Danio rerio: one gene and its partner. The protein of the gene in region 2 interacts with the protein of the main gene of each other region in a biochemical or structural test. Links are inferred from orthologs where the notes say so. Each region holds a gene or a part of one and is shown on either strand. Other genes may lie near its edges. The genes, in order: smyd3 and map3k2.

What was found.
Region 1: the proteins of map3k2 (region 2) and smyd3 are reported together in a solved structure, tested with the Homo sapiens proteins (2 studies listed by BioGRID and IntAct, with this or other methods). The link is inferred for Danio rerio from reciprocal best matches to the Homo sapiens genes MAP3K2 and SMYD3.

The regions. Positions count from the first base shown.
Region 1 is NC_133192.1:13,256,481-13,260,880, forward strand, and holds the start of smyd3 (histone-lysine N-methyltransferase SMYD3), read right to left. Parts: upstream 2,891-4,400; 5' UTR 2,837-2,890; coding exon of another isoform or gene 2,834-2,836; coding exon 2,670-2,833; intron 1-2,669. UniProt on the Homo sapiens protein: Histone methyltransferase. Specifically methylates 'Lys-4' of histone H3, inducing di- and tri-methylation, but not monomethylation. Also methylates 'Lys-5' of histone H4.
Region 2 is NC_133181.1:10,478,795-10,482,631, reverse strand, and holds part of map3k2 (mitogen-activated protein kinase kinase kinase 2), read left to right. Parts: intron 1-2,446; coding exon 2,447-2,577; intron 2,578-2,671; coding exon 2,672-2,751; intron 2,752-3,837. UniProt on the Homo sapiens protein: Component of a protein kinase signal transduction cascade. Regulates the JNK and ERK5 pathways by phosphorylating and activating MAP2K5 and MAP2K7. Plays a role in caveolae kiss-and-run dynamics.

The DNA of each region.
Region 1 (4,400 bases), on a different chromosome or scaffold from region 2:
AAAACCCCTTTAGCCTGTTTGAAAACTTAGTCAAGTACATTCAAAAATATGTTAGAATTGTATATTGTAATGTGTATACAGAATATATTGTACTGTGTAATGTAATATTACTATTTAGACGTATAGAGACTATATTAGCAGTAGATTATAAAAACATAACGAAACAAAACCTTTAGCAACATTTTAGCAATCTGATCAAATAAAACAAATTAAATAAAATATAAATGCATATGAGTAATATAAATTAAAAATAAGATTACGTAAATTTGTAATGAAATAAATAAATATATAATGTAGTCTATTGATTATGAAAAACTTAATATTATAACAAAATGTTAAAAAACATTTTAGCCTGTAATATTGTAAACAAATTAAAACAATTGAAACAAAATAAATACATATTACAGTAGTTAAATAAAATTGCTAAATGAATAAATATAGTAGTATATTGATATGAAAAACGTAATATTGTAACAAAACGTAAAAAAAAAAACACTTTAGCCCATTGTAAAAAAAAACAACTTCATAAATAGTCATAAAAATGTGTTAGAAAAGTATATTGTAATGTGAACATAAGTCAGAACTATTAGCCCCCGTTGGAATTTATTTTTAAAATATTTCCCGAGTTATGTTCAACAGAGAAAGGAAATTTTCACAGTATTTCCTAGAATTTTTTTCTTCTAGAGAAAAATCTTAATTGTTTTATTTTGGCTAGAATAAAAGCAGTTTTTAATTTTTTAAAAGTCCTTTTAAAGTCAAAATTATTAGCCCCTTTAAGCTTTTTTTTTCTAATAGTCTACAGAACAAACCATAGTTATATAATAACTTGACTAATTACCCTAACCGGCCTAGTTAGCCTAATTAACCTCGTAAAGCCTTTAAGTGTCCCTTTAAGCTGAATACTAGTATCTTGAAAAATATCTAGTCAAATGTTATTTACTGTCATCATGGCAAAGATAAAATAAATCAGTTATTAGAAATGAGTTATTAAAACTATTATTCAATTCAACTCAGTTCACCTTTATTTGTATAACGCTTTTACAATGTAGACTGTGTCAAAGCAGCTTCACAAAGAAGATTATAGTGAATTGAAACAGTGTAGTTCAGTTCAGTTTAGCTCAGTTCAGTCAGTGTGGTTAATAATCACTACTGAGAGTCCAAACACTGAAGAGCGAATTCATCTATGTGCAGCTCTACAGATCCTGAACCATGCAAGCCAGTGGCGACAGCGGCGAGGAAAAAACTTCACCAATTGGCGAAAGTGAAGAACTAAAAAAACCTTGAGAGAAACCAGGCTCAGTTGGGCACGACCATTTCTCCACTGGCCAAACGTCTTGTGCAGAGCTGCAGACTATTATGTTTAAAAATGTGTTGAAAAAATCTGCTCTTCGTTAAATAGAAAGTGGGGAAAAAATTAACAGAAGGTCTAATAATTCTGACTTTAACTGTATATATAGTGTAATGTTATATTACTATTAAAATATATAGAGAGGACATTAGCAGTAGATTATGAAAAATGTAATGTAACAATGTTTAGCAATATTTTAGCAATTTGATCAACTAAAAAGAATAAAAACAATAAAAAATACACATAATGTGTAATGTAAATTTAACAAACTAATTACGGAAATGTATAAATAAATAAATAAAAAATAAATAATATAGTAGTTTATTGACTATGAAAAACATAATATTGTAGCAAAACGCTCAAATCATTTTAGCCCAAAATATTGTGCAAAAATAAAAACAATCGAAACAAAATAAATACATATTAGAGTAATGTTAAAAAAAAAATAAGAATGCGTATAAATGAATAAATATAGTAGTATATTGATTACGAAAAATATAAAATTGTAACTAAATATTTTTTTAAAATGTTAGCCGGTTGAAAAAAAACAAAGCAAAATACGTTCAAAAACATGTTAGAATTGTATAGTGTAAGGTGGGTGTGTGTGTTATATATGTATTATATAGTGTAATGTTATATTACTATTAAGATATATAGACAGTATATTAATATTAGATTATGAAAAACATAATATAATGTAAAACGTTTAGCAACAATTTAGTGAGTCAAATTTTTGCTAAAATAAAAACAATTGAAACAAATAATGCATAAAGTAATGTAAATAAAAATCATTACGTAATTTGTAAATAAATAAATAAAAAATGGTAGTATATTGATCATGAAAAACTTATTTTAAGTAAAAATAATTTAACAAAACGTAAAAAAAAACATGTTAGCCTGTAATATTGTGCAAAAGTAAAAACAATTGAAACTCAATAAATACATATTAGAATAATTCAAAATAAAAAATGATTTGTAAATAAATAAATATTGTAGTATATTCATTATAAAAAAGGAATATTGTAACAAAACGTTAAATAAAATAGAAATTTACTAAATAAAAATACTTAATAGCAAAGCACAATCAAAAATGTGTTAGAATTGTATATTGTGGTCAACACATTGAAAAGTGTCCATATTAATGCATTCATATACGTACAGTGCAGTATATGCCTAACTTTTCTGAGCACCAAACACATTTAGACATTGACAAACCTGAGAATAAATCATTGACCGGCTGTAACTTAAAGTATAAATTGTATTCTAGCGATTTTTTTCTAACAAAACAAAAATTCAGAGCATAAAAATGTGGTCTTCTTACCTCTTGAGGCAACTTTGACAGGCAGTTTTCAGGAAATCTCTTGCTACGCAGAACGCAAACGGCTTGCATGAATAAATCACCTCACCGGGTTTAATTTCACGCAGAGCACGCAAACCATTGCCTTTACCTTCACTTATAAACCTCTCCATAATCACAGCCTCCATCATTTCATAAAAATATCATCTGCAGTGACCGTCCATGTGTTTGTTCACGGTACATATGAACGCTCTGTTTGTATTTATGACAGTCAACTTTACGCGCCATTACGCAGCTTCTTTAAAACAATCTCATGCTCAAAAAAAGAATGTTTTCACTGAACAACTTGGTTTATTAAGATGGCGTCTACATATATATGAGCGTTTCGTGACAAAATGAATCATAATTGCACCTGTAAATCAAATAAAACAATGATAACATATTTCAAAATGCGTATAAATGACGCAGTTTTGATTTGCATGAAGATGTTTAGACGTCGCGGAGACATGACGTAGATTGTGCGCCTCACCAATGGGATTGCGCAAACTGCAGGTCAACAGCACGCGGAGCTCAATGTCACGGACTCGCGTGTTACGCAGCTTCAATGTGCTACATTAATGTAGATCCCGCGGACAAAAACTGCATCATTTGAGGTTAGTTTGGGTTAAAATAGTGTAAATGTGTAGTCAGCAGTCAGCCATGTCAAATGTTTATTTGAGCAGAGGAGCCTAATAGTTACGTATTCTGCTAACTGTAATGGTGTATCGTCTGATGTAGACAGGATTATAGTCATATCAAGGTTTAAGATGATGTTCAGTGTCGTCAAAAATGTGCTCATCACATTTATGTGCAATAATATAAGATATTAATGTTGAAATGTTACTTGGAGAGAACTTTGGAAATTTTTGTTAAATAATGATGCATAACAGAGTTCCCACAGTCATTTACACCCAGGGAATGTATAATATATATATTTAGTGTTCAGTTATAGAATATTTTATCTGCGGGATACTGTTTTTTTTTTGTAATTGCAGTTTTTATAAACTATAATTTAAGTACATTTTAATCCTTATGTACTGTTGAGGATGTTTTCATCCACTCTATGGCCATAACTTTCTGTTTTGGCTAGTAAAATGATTTTTGGTGACATCTTGTTTTGAGAAAATGCTTTTAATTATTTATTTATTTTTAAATAAGCATTGTACTCTGGGCAAATTTAGTACACAATTACATTTTATATTAGAAATAAGTAATTTTGTCTGTTTTTTTTTCACCAGATCAGTGACGTCATTTATGAATTTGGCAAGAAGAGTTAAAATCCTGTAATATTCTAAGCAATATAGTGGTGGGCTTGATCAGGACTGAGGTTTATTAACAGATTTATGCAAAAAAAAAAAAAAAAATCCCAAACATAACAAAAGGGTAGTAAATTCAATTTGGATAAAGAAGGCGTGTATATATTTGTTAGGTTGACAATTTTAAATAAATTAATTTTATATATGTAATATAAATACTACTGAGCGAAATTAAAACTACAAAGTTAGACATCTTAGACTTTTTTTTTTTAGAGGACATATATAATATTACAGATTAATTGAAGAGATGTTACTGTGAACTTTTTAGGGCTCAAAAAAATGAAAATATGATGTTAAGCAGGGGCCACAAAACTTTAAAGAGGGAAACGGTTCGTCATTGAAAATAATAAAAAGAAGAAGCTGAAGAACAACAACTATTGTTATCTATTGTGTACCAATA
Region 2 (3,837 bases):
CCTTATTGTAACTGATGTTGTCAAGTTTCACATATATATATATATATATATATATTTGTTTGTGTGTGTGTGTGCGTGTTTTGGTATTTGGTATTTTAAATAAAAAACATTGGATGGAAATGCCTAAATTTGCATAAGATCTTAAATATGTCAGTGCACACAATTTCTTTGTAAATTTCTAAAATAACTGGACTAAACTGTAGACCAACTTTATTGAACAATATTGCAAATTTCGTTTTAAAACCAGAAAGGATAGAAATTGGATCTCAAGGGGATATCTGTCAAAACAAGCCTACATGGCTTCTCGGTGATTCACTAACCCTGAAAAGTGCTAGTCACATGGTCAGAAACACTTGCGCGAATCAAAAATGTCAAAGCAAATTTGCTGTTTGAAGTAATGCTGTTATTACTTCAAACAACAACAGTTGCCATTATCAGTTACTTTTCATATATTAGTATATGTCTTAAAGTTTTAGCGATCTTATAAACTGACATAAAACAAGATTTTAATTTTCTTGTTCCAATTAGGTTCTTTTCTGGAGTTTCAAATATTAATAAATTCAATAATTAATAATAGTAAACAAATTAATTGAAGGAACAAATATGTTGTGTTAAAACAGACTACTGTTTTGCTAGAACAAACTCACAAATTTCAAAAGCATTAATTAATCATTTAATATTATTATTATTAATATTAATATTAATAATAATGAATCATTTCTGTAAACAATTATATACAAACACAGAATTTTTCATTGTATTGCACACCAATAGCGGTCATAATAATGGCCTATTTCCAATTATTTCTTTTTTCTTTTTCTTCATAAGCACTGTGATTCTTGAATTCTTGCTGTTAACACTTCAAAAAAATATTTAAAATACAATATTCAAAGGCTTTTGGCTTTATCCCTCTTATAAACTCAGATATATGAATTTGGACCACAGTTAAATTACAGTATGACCTTGGTGTCTGTCAAAAAAAAAACTCGGCTGGGGATTTTGACATGTATGGTGAGAGAATAGCACTCACATTCTGCATTCAGATTAGCTCGAGAATCCCCTTGAGAAGCAATTACTGTCCAAGTAGTGCTTTTAGTTATTTTCAGTTGCCTGAGTCAAAGCCTGTCATCAAAATGATTTGCTTAAATTACCTATCAGAACTGTCTCACAGGATTGTCTTTTCACATAACATGACAGATAATGACTGTGTTTGTTATTGCGTGTCATCTGCACACTCTGAGGTGCAAGATATTTATTGTGTAGAGAAAAAAAGAGCCTGGCTGCAGTAATTTTTCTATTTTTATTGCTTATAATGTGTGCTTTTCTGAAAAAATGTAGATTTTTATTTTTATTTATTTAAGTTATTTTTTTGTTGTTCTTTTGAGCATTGTAGGAAACATACAAGTTATTAATGCGATATTTACAAGACAAAATGGGACGAAGGAAACGAGATGAAGGAAACGAGACGGCGAAGGAAACGAGCCTCTTCATTTCACCTCTTTCGTTTGTTTTTTTGTTCGTTCATTTCATTCGTCTGGTTTCGTTCATCCGTTTCATTTGTTTTGTGGTTTGTTTGTGTCATCCGTCTGGTTTCATTCGTCTGGTTTCGTTTGTCTCGTTCCATTCGTCTCAACTCGTTTTGTTCATCTTGTTCGTATCATTAATTTTATTCGTCTCATTTCGTTTGTCTTGTTTTGTTCGTCTCAACTCATTTGTCTTGTCTCTTTTCGATTGTCGTTTCGTCCCGTTCTTCTCTTCTTGTTCTGTTTGTCTCGTTTCGTTCGTTTTGCTTTATTCGCCTCATTTCGTTCGCCTTGTTTTGTTGGCCCCCGTTTCGTTCATCTCGTCTTTTTAGTGTAAGTTAACTCCACAACTTTAGTTCAAATCTTTTTATATCTTTTATCCAAATATGGTATTCCTCTCAAAAGGCTTAACATTTTCTTTTTCAACAATGCCCTTCCTACTACTTTTGGTCCATTTTGTTTTAATTATTAAAGTACATTTGTTTTTGTTTTTTGTTGCCTCAAACTAGAATCACAAAATAAATTATGAATATACAAAGTTGAAGTCAGAATTATTAGCTCTCTTGAATTATTAGCCCCCTTTATATATTTTATATCATTTCTATTTACTGAAAAGACATTTTCAACACATTTCTGAACATAATAGTTTTAGTAACTCTTTATCGTAAGCCGTTAAATGACACTAAGCTGAATACTAGTATCTTAATAAAATATCTAGCAAAATATTTTTTACTGTTATCATGACAAAGATAAAAGAATCAGTTATTACAAATATAATATATATATATATTTATTATTATTATTATTATTATTATTATTATTATTATTATTATTTATATTAATATTATTATTATTATTTTTTTTTTATTTTTTTATTTTTACAGTTTTCTGACTTTTCTCAATCTCTTCTTCTTCTTCTCCAGGTTCTCAGTCAACAGATCGCAGCTCCCCTCCTCCAGGTTATATTCCTGATGCTCTGCAGCAGGTGGCCAGAAACGGCTCTTTCACCAGCATCAACAGTGAGGGCGAGTTCATCCCAGAGAGCATGGACCAGGTAATTAGTCTGACAACACTTTGGTTTTAGCTGATGTGAGTGAATTGAACAACAGCATAATCAGATTTATCTTTTCATGTTTTACCTTTTCAAGATGCTGGACCCTTTGTCAATGAGCAGTCCTGAGAATTCAGCATCAGGCAGCTGTCCTTCATTGGACAGTCCACTTGACAGGTTAATAACTAACCAACAAATATAGTACATGCAGCCTATTTTCTATAGGATTGCAGGTTAACAGTGTCTGTTTATAATAACTTATATTTGATTGTAACTTTAACTTAATTTCATTGTAATACAATAATGTGCATCTTTTGTAAAGCTGCTTTGAAACAGTCAGGGCCGCTGCTGGCCAAAAGGGGGCCCTATGCGAAATTTTACTGTGGTGCCCCCACAGAGGAACAAAAACACACAAACATATGTATTTAAACAGGTATTTATTTATTTATATACATAAATATACATTTAAGCACTCAAAATTATACTTAAAACAGTCATATATTTACATTACAAAATAATTGTTTGCATTAAAATAAACATTGACATGTCTTCTGCAGAAACATTCATAATTTCAAACATTTACAAAAGGTAAGAAATAAAACCCTCTCTGTACCTGTAGAGATGGACGGTCCTTAGTACTGCAGCCTCTGTCTGTACCAGTGCAGCTGCTGGTGCCTCTGGAGCAGTGCTGGGGCCTCATGTACGAAGATTTGCGTTGAAATCATACTAAAACATTGCGTACGCACAAAGCTGTAAATGCGCGTACGCAGTAAAAACATCTGATGTATAAAACACTGCGTACGCCGAATTACACACGCATTCTCTTAGTAAATCCGAATGAACGTGAAACTAAACGCAACATGCACGAGCGCAAAACCCCTCCCTGCCTCCTCCCCCGTATATGCTAATATGCTAATGATTCTACTTTGACAAAACCCAACGAAAAAGCAATGGCAAGCTAAAAGAGAAACTTTTTGAACAGAATGTGATTTGGAGGTGCTGCTTTCGGTGGTAGACCAGAGAAAAATTTTGTTCATTGTGTTATAATCCTCCGGAATTAATAACAAAAGAAAAAAAAATAGAGAGGGAGAGTTTAGCTAATCACAGTTGGGTCTAAACATCACACCGAGTGGATTGGAAAAGAATTAGTGCGATGTAGAGGTGTAAAATTTTATAGTATCTTTAACAGCATGAGTGGCGTAGCTCGTAAAACGCATGGCAACATGTTTTGACATGTTCGCGCATGACCTTGGTTCGAATCCA